Macaca fascicularis: one gene and its partners. The protein of the gene in region 1 interacts with the protein of each later gene in a pairwise test. Links are inferred from orthologs where the notes say so. Each region holds a gene or a part of one and is shown on either strand. Other genes may lie near its edges.

Region 1 (4,229 bases):
ACTCTCTGTCACCTCCAAGTTGTCTTTGGCACTCAATCCAAGCGGGGAAGGCACGCTAAGGGGGTGAGATGTTGGGGTTTCTGAGTGGCCTTGGGGGTTCAGGGGTTGGGAAGGAATTCTCCCACCCTCTTTGCTTGGCTTTAGGTGGTGGATTCTTATGCCACCAGGGGGCAGTGCCTCCACATGCACCTGGACCCTGTGCTCCTGTGCCCAAGAAGCCCCACCAGGGTCAGTTGATAACTAGACAGAAATCTGGCCTCCATAGCCTGAGGCCCTGTGGCAAGCCAGTGCCTACACTACTGTAGCTTTGCTGACTTCTGAGTGCTCCTCACAATCCAGCCACCCTGTAGGGAGGCTTGTCCATGGTGGAGACTGACACCAAAAGAAGGGAGAAACTTGCTCGAGGTAAAATCTTGAGGTCATAGTGAGATAAGATTGTCAGATAGAATACAGGATATGCAGCTAAATTTCAATGTTAGATCAACCCATGAATCCTTTTTTTAGTGTAAATATGTCCCAAAGGTTAGTGTACAAGAGAGAATACTTACACTACAAATGTAGTATAAGTACAGATGTGTTGTTTATCTGAAATTTAAATGTACTTCGTATCTGTATTTTCATTTGCTCAATCTGGCAACCTTGGCTGGGCTTCCCAGGCTCCTGAATCCCACTAAGCTGAGCACACTCAGTAGTTTCTCTGCTCCCAAGGTGGCCCTCCAGAAAGCTCAAATTTCATCGCAGCTGCTCCACTAGATCTGGGAAGGGCTTCTTTGGGGCCCCCAGGAATGCAGGCAGGGCCTATATCAGCTCTGCTTCCCAAGAGCTCGGCCCCAGCGCTGGACAGGTGAGGTGGGGGCAGGGGACAGGCAGCCTCAGACCATGCTGCCCTATCTCAGCTAGTTCTGACCCCTTCCTTTGCACTCCCTCTCCTTCCTTCCTTCCTTCCTTCCTTCCTTCCTTCCTTCCTTCCTTCCTTCCTTCCTTCCTTCCTTCCTCTTTTCCTCCTTCCTTCTTTCCTTCCTTCCTTCCTCCCTTCCTCTTTTCCTTCCTTCCTTCCTTCCTTCCTTCCTTCCTTCCTTCCTTCCTTCCTTCCTTCCTCCCTTCCTCTTTTCCTCCTTCCTTCCTCCTCTTTATCCCACCTGACCCAAGGGCTCTGGGGGAAGAAGAGGCTATTTCTAAAAGGAACGTTTTATAAACCTGTCCTGATTCCTTTCACAAATAGCCTCCTATTCCCCCAGGGGCTCTGGGGTTGTTTCCTAGAATGAAGGGTTCACCACAGGTCGTGTAGCAATCAGTGTTTTCCAGAGAAACATAACTGATAGGATGTATATATGTATGTATGTATATATGTATATATCTGCATATGCACAAGTATATATACATTTATTTTAATAAATTGACTTATGCAATTGTGGGGCTGACAAGTCTGAAATGTGCAGGGCAGCCTGGCAGGCTGGCAACTCAAAGAAGAGTTGACACTGCAGTCCTGGGGTAGAATTACCTCTACTTTGGGAAACCTCAGTCTTTGCTCTTCAGGCCTCTCAGTTGATTGTGTGAGACCAACCCACATCATCGAGGATGTGTCTCTACTTTACTTCAAGTCCACTGGTTGTAGATGCCAACCACAGCTACAAAATGCCTCCACAGCAACACCTAGACTAGTGTTTGAAGGAGTCACTGGGGACTAGAACCTGGCCAGGTGACACATAAACCTGACCATCACAGTGGTCTAATCAGTAGGGAAACTGAGGGAGAATTGGGACTTAGAAGGTGCAAGGCCTGAGGCCCCTGGGAGTTCTAGTGGCTGCAGTCAGGTCCCACCTCTCTTACCCTTCTCTCCCTTTGTTCTCATGGCTCCTGCCTAGTCTGACCTACTTCAGAAAAAGGCTACCTCCCATGTCTGGGGACTCTGGATGGGGGAGGTAGGATATGCTCTCCAGAGAATCTCTTCTGAAGGTGTGGTATGGCCTGGATTGCTAGGACCTAACTCTGCTGTAGCCACTGCCTGGCTCTTGGACCCTGTGCCAATCCCTGTTTCTTCATAGAAATGATGGAGGGTAGACCCTACCCTTCCCCCCATGGGCTAAATATGGAGATTCATGAGCCAGAGCAGTTCTCACAGTCAAAGGCATGGAATTGTATCTCTTCTCCTAAGTTGCTTACAGAGTAGCAAGGAGAAGGCCACGGACCTAGCCAACAAGATACAATAGAAACAGAAAGTGCTGAGTCCAAGGCCTCAGCCTAGAGAGGGAGTCTTGCTCCACCCCCAGGTCTGACTATATCTTCCTTGAGCTCCTGTTCCAGGAAGAGGTGATTTTCTGAGTGTGACTCCTCTGTTCCTGGCACCCTGTACATCCTTAGCCATAGCTTACAAGTGAACAGCTGGTTGTGATGGCAGGAGGCCCTCCCAACACCAAGGCAGAGATGGAAATGTCCCTGACAGAAGAATTGAATCATGGACGCCAAGGGCAAAACCAAGAGCACCTGGTGATAGCGGGTGAGGATCCCCTAAAATACCCCTAGGCTACAGCCAACTGTGTAGATACATGTCTGTACCTGTGCATGTGTGTGTTGGGAAAGGTGCATGTGTGCATGGAAGTGTTTGCACATCTGTGTGTTGGGCGGGCTTTGAGGATTTGTGGGTTGATGGTAAGGGATCTAGGAGAAAAGGGATAGATGATGTGAGCATTTTGCCCTGGGAGGGAGGAGGATGGGAACAACATGTGTGGTCCCTCTGTCTTCCCCTTGTCCAAGCCACCACAGTGTCTGTTGCAAAATACTCAGAGGGCTCAAATTATGAGACCAGAGATCAATTCTCTCTCCCAACCCTCGAATTCATTTTCCTGCCATTTGGAGGAAAATCCAGACTCCATGATCTATAAGATTGTATCAGCCTCCTCAAAACATTTCATACTATGATATAGACAGAAAATACCATTTCTATAGCACACAAAGGGATCCAGATCACATTGCATTTATGTTTGTTCTTACAATGCTCCAAGCCTGCTTCTTCCCCAAAGACCTTGCATTTGCTGTTTCCTCTGTCTGGAATGCTCTTTCCCTCAATTTCCCAGGGCTGGGTCCTTTATTTTTTTCAGGTCCCTGCCTCAATTGTTGTCTCCTACTTTTCTAGAAGGAGCCCTTTCCTTCCACTATGTTACCCTGTTTTGATCATTTATGGAGCCTGCATCTCTCTGTCTGCATTTGCAAGGATAGACCTTCTGTTTTACACCTGTCATTCACTCTTATACACAAAACAGATGGTCAGTTCCTTGATAGCTGGAATCTTGTTCTTGGTCATTGCTCTCTAGATTACTGGAGAGTAACCTAGTCTCGAGCTGAGCCCTCAGGATTCTTGTTTAACTTTTGAACAGATGAACAAACTGAGACCTGGGATCAGCTGGTGGACAGTGGTTAATGGGTGCTGAGTGATTCCCAAGAAAGCTGGGGACTCTGTCTTCTTTTTGGTGTGTTTTGTGCCCAAGAAGCCCTGGTACAACTTCTATGGGTGCTCCTGGGGTCTCTGTTCTTCTCTCTAGAAATGATGGAGCATGGATCTCGGTCCCTGGGTGCCTCCCAGAAGAGGCAGAAGTTGGAACAAAAAGCTGCTGGCTCTGCTTCAGCGAAACGAGTTTGGAATATGACTGCCACCCGATCCAAGAAAATGGTACTGCATGGGGTCCTCAGCACATGTTGGCCAGGTTGGGGTTGGGAGTACTGGTTGTAGGGGCTGTAGCCTGACCAGGTCAGGCAGGGCTAGACATTGACTTGTGAGGAGGAGGAAGCTCCTGTATTCCAAGCTGGCAAATGAGGACAGAAAGGTCAGGGTCATCCTTTCCTATGCTTGGGATGCAACCTTGGGAGTTCAGAATGCCTGAAACAAATATTGCATGGGGAGTACATAAATATTTCACTCTGTAAATCCATTGTGTGAAATAACGCTTCCTGTATTTAAAATTGTGTGTGTGGTGCGTGTGTGTGTATACACACAATAACTCAGGTGAGGCTCCTACGCTTTCTGGCTGTTAAGAAATCCAGTCAAGTCGTCTGGCATGGTGGCTCATGCCTGTAATCTGAGCACTCTGGCAGGAAGAGGTGGACGGATCACTTGAGGCCAGGAGTTGGAGAACAGTCTGGCCAGCATGGTGAAACCTTGTCTCTACTAAAAATACAAAAATTAGCTGGGCATGGTGGCACATGCCTGTAATCACAGCTACTCAGGAGGCTGA
Region 2 (4,105 bases), on another chromosome or scaffold:
GTTGCAGTGAGCCGAGATTGTGCTACTGCACTCCAGCCTGGGCAACAGGGTGATATTCCATCTCAAAAAACAAACCAACCAACAACAACAACAACAACAACAACAAACTACAAAAGCAAAGAAGGTCCAAGGCCCAGAAGGAGGGAGGGGCTCTGAAGACTTTATCAGGCTTTACCTCCTCTGGTCCTCCCAAAAGCCCAGCTCTTGGTAGGTGCTGTTGTCCATTTCACAGATGAGAACACTGAGGGGGAAGTAATTACCCTACAGGTGGGAAGAACAGAGTGAGGGTACCCAACAGGTAGCAAACGACAGAGCTGGGGGAGGGGAGCCCCTGCCCCTCCCCTGCCCCTCCCCTGCCCCTCCCCTGCCCCTCCCCTAATCTCTGAGGGGATCAAGACAGAGGTAAACAAGCTTTGCTGTGCGCAGGACAATTGTTACTTTGTTATTCCAAGAGCGCTCTGCCTTCTCCCACCCCCAATATACCCCAGTGCCGCTGTTAGGCACTACTCATCCCCGCGGGGCAGGCTGCCACCAGCCCACCCCGCCTGGAACCTTCCTGATTTCTCTGTCCCTCGCGGGGGCTTTGGGGTCCTTCTCACCAGGTCTGCACGTGGGCCCCCTGCCCCCAATCCCTCCCGTTCCGACCTGCCTCTCGCGCACCCGGAGCCCCGACGAGAGGGGGAAGGCAGGGGGTGGGTGCTGCAGCTGGAAGGCTGCGGACGGGCGGCAGTGGAGGGCCAGTCCCCCTGGCTTCGGGTATGGAGCACTGGATGCTGCTGCTACCCAAGTGTGAACCTCGGTTTTCATATTCGTGAAATAGGCTTAAAAACACCTAAGTCCCGAAGCTGCCAGCCTAAGGAGCACGTTTTTGAACGCTGGCTTCACGCTGTCATTTAGCAAGTCATTTCGTCCTCTTGGAGCCTCGGTGGGTAAAATGATCGTGAAAAAAAGCACCGAGGAGTACTTTGAGCTCGAAGGGAGGCCATCTGTGTAAAGGGCTTGGATTATACACCCAGATTCTGTCAATGGATCGATCTCGACTGCACGCCCGTGCTGGGCGCAGGGGAAACAGCGACGCACGGGACAAAACAAGCTTGCAGAACCGCAGGGGGCAGAGAGGCTGTAAACAAGCCAACCGGCTGCACTTGTAGCGGTTCTGTTGCCAATGCCATTCAGACCCCAGTCCGGGATTCCGCGCTCGGGGTGCGAGAGGCCGCTCCCGGGGCGGGGCGGGACCCGGGCGGGGCGGGAGGGGCGGGGCGCCCGGACCTATTAGGTCCCGCGCCGGCAGCCGGGCAGTAGACACGAAGCTTCTCCGGTGGCTCACAGACGCTGCCAGCATCGCCGCCGCCAGGTGAGTGCCCCTGACCCTGCTGCCGCCCGCCGCTCCACCCAGCTCGAGCCCGGCGGTTAGCGCCCAGGCCGCGGCCCGGGTGCCGAGCGGCTGGAAGTGTGGGGACCCGTGCCCAGGTTTTTCCGCCTCAGCAAGTCGCTGGCGAGTCCCTTGTGGGGCGACGTCTCGGGACTCCGGCTCCGAAACATCCCCTTTCTGCCCAGGGCTCCAGGTCCCCGACGGCCGATCGTGCCAGGCGCGGCCCCTGCGGGCCTCAGTCTCCGCGCCTGTGCAATGGGGTGGTTCCTCTGCGTCTCACCGCTATGGCCGGACGCTCCATCGCCCTCGCACCATCCTCGAGGGCGGCTTCCGGGCACCGGACTCCGACCTCTGGGGTCGTGCGGACCCGGCCAGAGCGCAGCGCGGCACCGCCAGCCCACGGCCGCTGCCGCACAGCCCCGGTGCCCTTAAAAGAGGGAAGATGGCGTCGTGCCCGGTGCTGCTGGGACCGGCTCCCAGAGGCGCTGTGCACCTAAGGGCCGAGGAAATGCTTCGTAACGGGACGCCCAGAAAGTCCGGAACAGGAACGTGCACCCGGAGCGGCGCGCAGCCGCCCGCCCACACCTGCCCATGCGCCCTGCACAGGTGCGCCCCGGACTGGTCGCGGGGACTAGAGCCCGGCTGGGGCGTGCGACCTTGTTAGGTAAATTGGGGGTGCGCCCCTGCGGGTGACCCGAGAGGGGTCCCCCCGCCTGCGGGGCGCGGTCACGACAAGGCTTGTGGGGTTCGGAGCTGGTCGTCGTCTGGGCTCTGGCCTCCTAAATGCGATCGCTTTCAAGCCCCTTCATTGTCAGTTTTGCCAGAATGAGCCACTTGTGGGGTAGGACGTGGTTGTTGATGTTGTTGTTGCTCTTACTACTGTAACATTTTTGTTGCTGTTTTAACGCAGTGTTTACTGTGGCCTGGGAGCCCGAGCTTCCCAGGGAGGTTGGTGTCTGCCTCATGTCCCCACATTAGGAGGAGCAGAGTCTGGTGGGCACTAGCGCCGGGAAGTTATTAACATCTGTCCGTCCTTGGGAGCAGGAGGCCTCGTTTTCCAGGTGGAGAAACAAGAGATTTCAGTCACAGGAGGCACAGAAATGCCAGGGTTGTCTAGCTGGAAGCCAAGGACCCTTTATGGAACCCAAGCCAAAACCTCTTTACACTCTCCAGCCCTGTGGCCTCCGAAGGGCTATTCCATCTCTCTGAACCTCAGTTCCTTCTGTTCATTCTGCAAAATGTATTTCTGAGGTTTCTGCCCAGATGAAGAAAGCCCGACTCAAGTTAGTAGCCTCCGTGTAGTTAAGACTTACCCTGATTTCTACTTAATTTGGGCATGTCTTTGGAATAAGTTCTCAGAAATGGCACAGTCTGGGTGTTTTTTTGTTTTGTTTTGTTTTGTTTTTTGAAACAAGAGCTTTGCTTTTGTTGCCCAGGCTGGAGTGCAGGGGCGTGATCTCGGCTCACTGCAACCTCCACTTCCTGGGTTCAAGCCATTCTCCTGCCTTAGCCTCCCTAGTAGCTGGGATTACAGGCGCCCACCACGACACCCAGCTAATTTTTTGTATTTTTAGTAGAGACGGGATTTCACCATGTTGGCCAAGGTAGTCTCGAACTCCTCCTGACCTCAGGCGATCCACCCACCTCAGCCTCCCAAAGTGCTGGGATTACAGATGTGGCCCCATGCCCGGCCCTTTTATTATTATTACTATTATTATTATTATTATCATTATTGTCTTAAGGATATTAAGACTAAAATTCTCACACATTTGACACGTGCCTGTAATCCTAGCACTTTGGGAGGCTGAGGCAGGAGGATTGCTTGAGCTCAGTAGATTGAGACCAGACTGGGTAACATGGTGAAACACTGTCTCTACCAAAAAAAGCAAAAAATTAACTGGGCATGGTGGCATGTGCCTCTGTTCCTAGCTACCCAGGAGGCTGAGTTCAGAGGACTACCTGAGCTTGGAGGGGTTAAGGCTGCAGTGAGCCCTGATCACACCACTGCACTCTAGCCGGGGAGACAGAGTGAGACCCTGTCTCAAAAAAAGGAGCATTAGGCTGGGCATGGTGGCTGACATCTGTAATCCTAGCACTTTGGGAGGCCGAGGGAGATGGATCACCTGAGGTCAGGAGTTGTGCAACTAGCCTGGCCAACATGGCAAAATCAGTCTGTTTTAAAAATGCAAAAATTAGCCAGGCGTGTTGGAGTATGCCTGTAATCCCAGCTACTTGGGAGACTGAGGCAGGAGAACTGCTTGACCCTGGGAGGCGGAGGTTGCACTGAGCTGAGATCATACCACTGCACTCCAGCCTGGGCCACAGAGTGAGACTCTCTGTCAAAGGAAAAAAAAAGCATCAAATGGTAGATCCCCAGTGTCTGTTACAGCTCAGGTACTCTATGGCTAGATAGAGGGGCTGCATACATATTAGTTATTGTAAGTTTTTTTTTATTTGAGACGGAGTTTCACTCTTGTTGCCCAGGCTGGAGTGCAATGGCTGGGAATACATGCGTGAGCCACCTCGCCTGGCTCAAGTTTCTTACACATTTGACTTGCCTGTAATCACAGCACTTTGGGAGGCCAAGGCGGGAGGATTGCTTGAACCCAGGAGGTGGAGATTGCAGTGAGCAGAGATGGCACCACTCACTGCACTCAGCCTGGGCTAACATGAGACTCCATCTCAGAAAAAAAAAAAAAAAATGATATCTTATGCCACAGAGCTGCAAAGAAA
Region 3 (4,176 bases), on another chromosome or scaffold:
TGAGAGACAATGGTGAATGTTGCCAGGATCATGGAACAAGAAGACCCTCACGCAATATTGAGTAATATGGAACAATAAGAAAGACACCAGATGACCCAGCAACTCCAGTCCCAGATATAAACCCTGAGGAAACTTAGGAACTGTGACTAGGATACATGTACAAGTGTGTTCGAGGAGCTTTGCTCATAAGAGCTCAACTCTGGAAACAATCCAGTGACCATCCCAATAGAGTGGAATAAAAAATGGCGCTATATCCACATGGCAGACAGCATGGCTGCCTACAACAGCATGAGTGAATCTTATAAACACTCTGCTGAAAGAGAGAAGCAGGATCAGGGAATTTCAAAGAATGAAGTTCCAAACAAGCAGGACTAAATGCCATGGTCTAGGGGAACATACTTCAGTGTTAACACAGAAAGAAAAGCAAGGAAGTGAGTCCCAAAGTCAGAGTAATAGTTGCTGGTGTGGGAGGATTTGGGGTGTGGGATGAGGAGGTGAGACTAAGGATTGTGATTAAGTGAGTACTTGAGAGGGGCTTCTGCAGTGCTAGCAGCATTCTGTTTCTTTGCTTGGTGGTGGTTTCATGTGTGTTGTTATAAAAACGTGTTAAGCGGTACATGGATATTTTATGTACCCCAGTCAATACAGTATATATCACAATAAAATAAAAGCTGGGGAGAAGAAAGAAGGAAAAGAAAAAAAGAAAAGAAAAAGAAAGACAGAGAGGGAGGGAGGGAAGGAGAAAGATCTTCAAACATTGCCATATATCTGAGGAATCAGATAGCAGAACTATCCGTAACAATCCCTGTAACTACAAACATGAATCAAGGGATGAGAAAAAGCAGTGGACATAGGAAGGTGGTTAGGGGGCAGTAAAGAGCTGTGTTGTCAGATAAGTGGTGCATGCATATGCTGAGAGCGTTGTTTTCCATTTTGTGCTTTCTCGAGGAAGTTGCCAGGGTCTGGCCCTCACTCAGTGGACCTCACTGATCCATCATCCATGAGACCTTTTGGGGAAATTTTCGGGGCTTTCTCTGTGTTTTTCCATTTCTGGTTTAGGATCAGGGAGTGGAGGAGGAGAAAAGACACAACTGGGGGTGTGTGTGTGTGCACGCGCGCAACCATATGAAGAGACAGTGGCTAGGCTGTGGACAGCTGGTGGCATCACCATCCGTCAAGTCACACAAACCAGAACCAGGGGCACATCCTTGACCTTTCCCTCTCCCTCACCAGACTTCTCTCCTCAACCATCAAGCCCGCCTAGCTGAGATCTTTAACATTTCTTGAAACCATGCCCCTGTTCCATCTCCCCAACCACAGCCGGGTCAGGCCAGGATGCCTGAAATAGCCTCGCTGCTCTCTGTATTGATCTTACCCTCTTATCTGCCCCTGCACTGTAGCCCTACAGGTGTTTTCTAAAACACTTTCTCGTCCTATCACATCAGTTCACACACCTTCAAAGACCTTGTAGCCCAACGATCAAAGCTGAATGCCCTAGGAAGGCCCTGTGCAGCCCAACTCCAGCTTGCTTCTCCCTGTCCTTCCTACCCAGCCTGTACCCAACTCCAAATCTAAGGCCCAGTATGAATGAGCTCTATTCAGCTCTTGGCACCCTGCCTCCAGTTTCCTGCCTGGATGCTGAAGCACATGCCACATCCTCTACTGAGAGCCCCTTTTCCTCCTATGGTGGGCTTGAATTCCTGTTCATCCCTTCCCCTCTGAAAGCCACTCGGACCCTCCAGACAAAGTTCCTCGCCACCTCCACGATGCTATCTGTCTGTTACTCCACTGTTACTTGTCAGACTTGATTGAAATTAGGTGTAGACATGTCTTCCTGACATCTCTGTAACCCAGGAGCTATTATAATATAAAGCCGTCTATATAGGAGGGAACTGGTGAAAATGTTGGTTGAATTGAACTGAATTTAACTGCATTTTGGAAATTTGATTTTCTATGTTGTATGGCTCTTTGCCTGGAATCTGTCCAATATGCAAGGTCCTCCCTCACTTCCATGTCTTGCTGGTCCCCTCTCCCTGGATAGCCTTGCCCAAGCTCACTTCAGTTCACCTAGCGAATCCTTCAGCACTCAGATACCTCCTCCAGGCAGTCTCTCCTAAGCTCAGACTGAGCATGTGCCCTTTCTGTCCCACTAGAAACACCTCATCTTCCATCTCTATGTCTGGCATCCCGTGAAACGTCCTGCCACAGGATAGGTGTTCAGAAAATAGCAGCTGGATGAATGGGCGTCTACTGGGTTAGGATGTTGGAAAAAATTCACCTCCAAGTTTTTCTCAAGTGAACACTGAACTTTCTTTAAGAAAGAAAGAAAACAAGAACCATATCAAATATGTAGATGTGTGTTAAGATATAAAGTACAACATAAAACTGTAGATGTGTATCTGTATAGCTATAAAAATGCACATTAAATAAACATGCCTAGTTTTCAGTTATACTGTAAGACTAGGAACTTCTTTTTAAGGAAAATATTATATATGACCTTATGCTTAGAACAAATACTATACAATCTAAAGCCAACAGTTACTTACTGCTTAGCTGCTTGCCAACGGGGTAGATCCTGTAGCCCTCAGAGGGTACAGGCGGCCATTGTCATGTGAGATCCCCGATGACGCTGCTTGCAGGCCTGCCCCAACAATGCTGACTGTGACCTGTCTGTGCCCTTTCAGACCTGACTCACAGGATGGAGACTCTAAGAAGGAGTCCCCTATAAAAGACTTTAAGGAAAGGAGGGGGCACTTGAAAGGTCTGAAAGAGTTCCTTTTCCGTCTTTGACTTCCCTGATAGGGCAGTGCTGTTGATGACTCACAAGTGATTGTTACCTCAGATTCTGTCGGCATTGGTTCCAGGAGCATGGTTCTAGGAAGTCATGGTCTGGGGAGGGCTGTGTGTGGGATGAATCACTTCTCTTGCTGCTTTCCAGATTCTTTGTCTTTGGCTTTTGATAGTTTGACTAGGATGTGTCTTGGTCTTGAGGTTTATTCTACTTGGAGATTGTTGAGCTTCTTGGATATGCAGATTTGATAGTTTTTCATCAAATTTCAGAAGTTTTTGGCCACTATTTCTTCAAATATTCTTTCTTCCATTTTCTCTGTCTCCTCTCCTTCTAGGGCTCATATTATGTGAATACTGGTAGCGTGAGGGTGTCCCCCAGGTCTCTAAAGTTATATTCATTTTTCTTCATTCTTTTTTCTTTCTGTTGCTTAGATTAGATAATCTCAGTTAACCTGTTTACAAGCTTGTGGATTTTTTCTTCTGTCAGTTCAAATATGCTGTTGAACTCCTCTTTAATTTTTCATTTTCAACTCCAGAATTTTTGTCACGTAGTAAAATTTTTAAATAGTCAAATAAATTAACATATCCATATCTCATATAGTTACCCTTTTTTGTGCACTGTAGCAAGAGCACCCAAAATCTACTCTTAGCAAAAATCCTGAATACAATGTTATTAACTATAGTCCCCATGTTGTACCTTAGATCTCTAAATTATTTATCCTATATATCTGCAACTTTGTACCCTTTGATCTCCTTCTTCCTGTCTCCTCCCCACACCGAGCAACCACCATTTTATTCTTTGTCTATGTATTTGACTTTTTTCTCTCTTTTTCTTCTTCTTCTTCTTTTTTTTTTTTTGAGACGGAGTCTCGCTCTGTTGCCCAGGCTGGAGTGCAGTGGCGCGATCTCGGCTCACTGCAAGCTCTGCCTCCTGGGTTCACGCCCTTCTCCTGCCTCAGCCTCCCGAGTAGCTGGGACTACAGGCGCCCGCCACCACACCTGGCATTTTTTTGTATTTTTAGTAGAGATGGGGTTTCACCATGTTAGCCAGGATGGTCTCGATCTCCTGACCTCGTGATCCGCCCGCCTCGGCCTCCCAAAGTGCTGGGATTACAGGCGTGAGCCGCCACACCTGGCCTCTTTTTTTTTTTTTTTTTTTTTTTTAAGATTCTACATATAAGTGAAATTGTGCAGCATTTTTCTTTCTGTGTCTGGCTTATTTCACTTAGCATAATGTTCTCCAGGTTCATCTATCTTGTCACAAATGGCAGGATTCTTTTTTTATGACTGAATAATATTCTACTTTATATACATGCTACAATTTCTTTATCTATTCATCCATCAGTGGACCCCTAGTCCATCCAGAATTTCTCCAGAAATTTTCAC

Evidence for each region.
Region 2: the proteins of FATE1 (region 1) and BIK interact in binary tests that used the Homo sapiens proteins (3 or more experiments, as listed by UniProt). The two-hybrid records come from large-scale screens. The link is inferred for Macaca fascicularis from reciprocal best matches to the Homo sapiens genes FATE1 and BIK.
Region 3: the proteins of FATE1 (region 1) and CCDC70 interact in binary tests that used the Homo sapiens proteins (3 or more experiments, as listed by UniProt). The two-hybrid records come from large-scale screens. The link is inferred for Macaca fascicularis from reciprocal best matches to the Homo sapiens genes FATE1 and CCDC70.

The regions. Positions count from the first base shown.
Region 1 is NC_088395.1:157,778,731-157,782,959, forward strand, and holds the start of FATE1 (fetal and adult testis-expressed transcript protein), read left to right. Parts: upstream 1-1,421; 5' UTR 1,422-2,391; coding exon 2,392-2,497; intron 2,498-3,539; coding exon 3,540-3,667; intron 3,668-4,229. UniProt on the Homo sapiens protein: Involved in the regulation of endoplasmic reticulum (ER)-mitochondria coupling. Negatively regulates the ER-mitochondria distance and Ca(2+) transfer from ER to mitochondria possibly implicating it in the regulation of apoptosis.
Region 2 is NC_088384.1:8,473,703-8,477,807, reverse strand, and holds the start of BIK (bcl-2-interacting killer), read left to right. Parts: upstream 1-1,300; 5' UTR 1,301-1,354; intron 1,355-4,105.
Region 3 is NC_088391.1:31,027,927-31,032,102, reverse strand, and holds the start of CCDC70 (coiled-coil domain-containing protein 70), read right to left. Parts: upstream 2,806-4,176; 5' UTR 2,547-2,805; intron 1-2,546.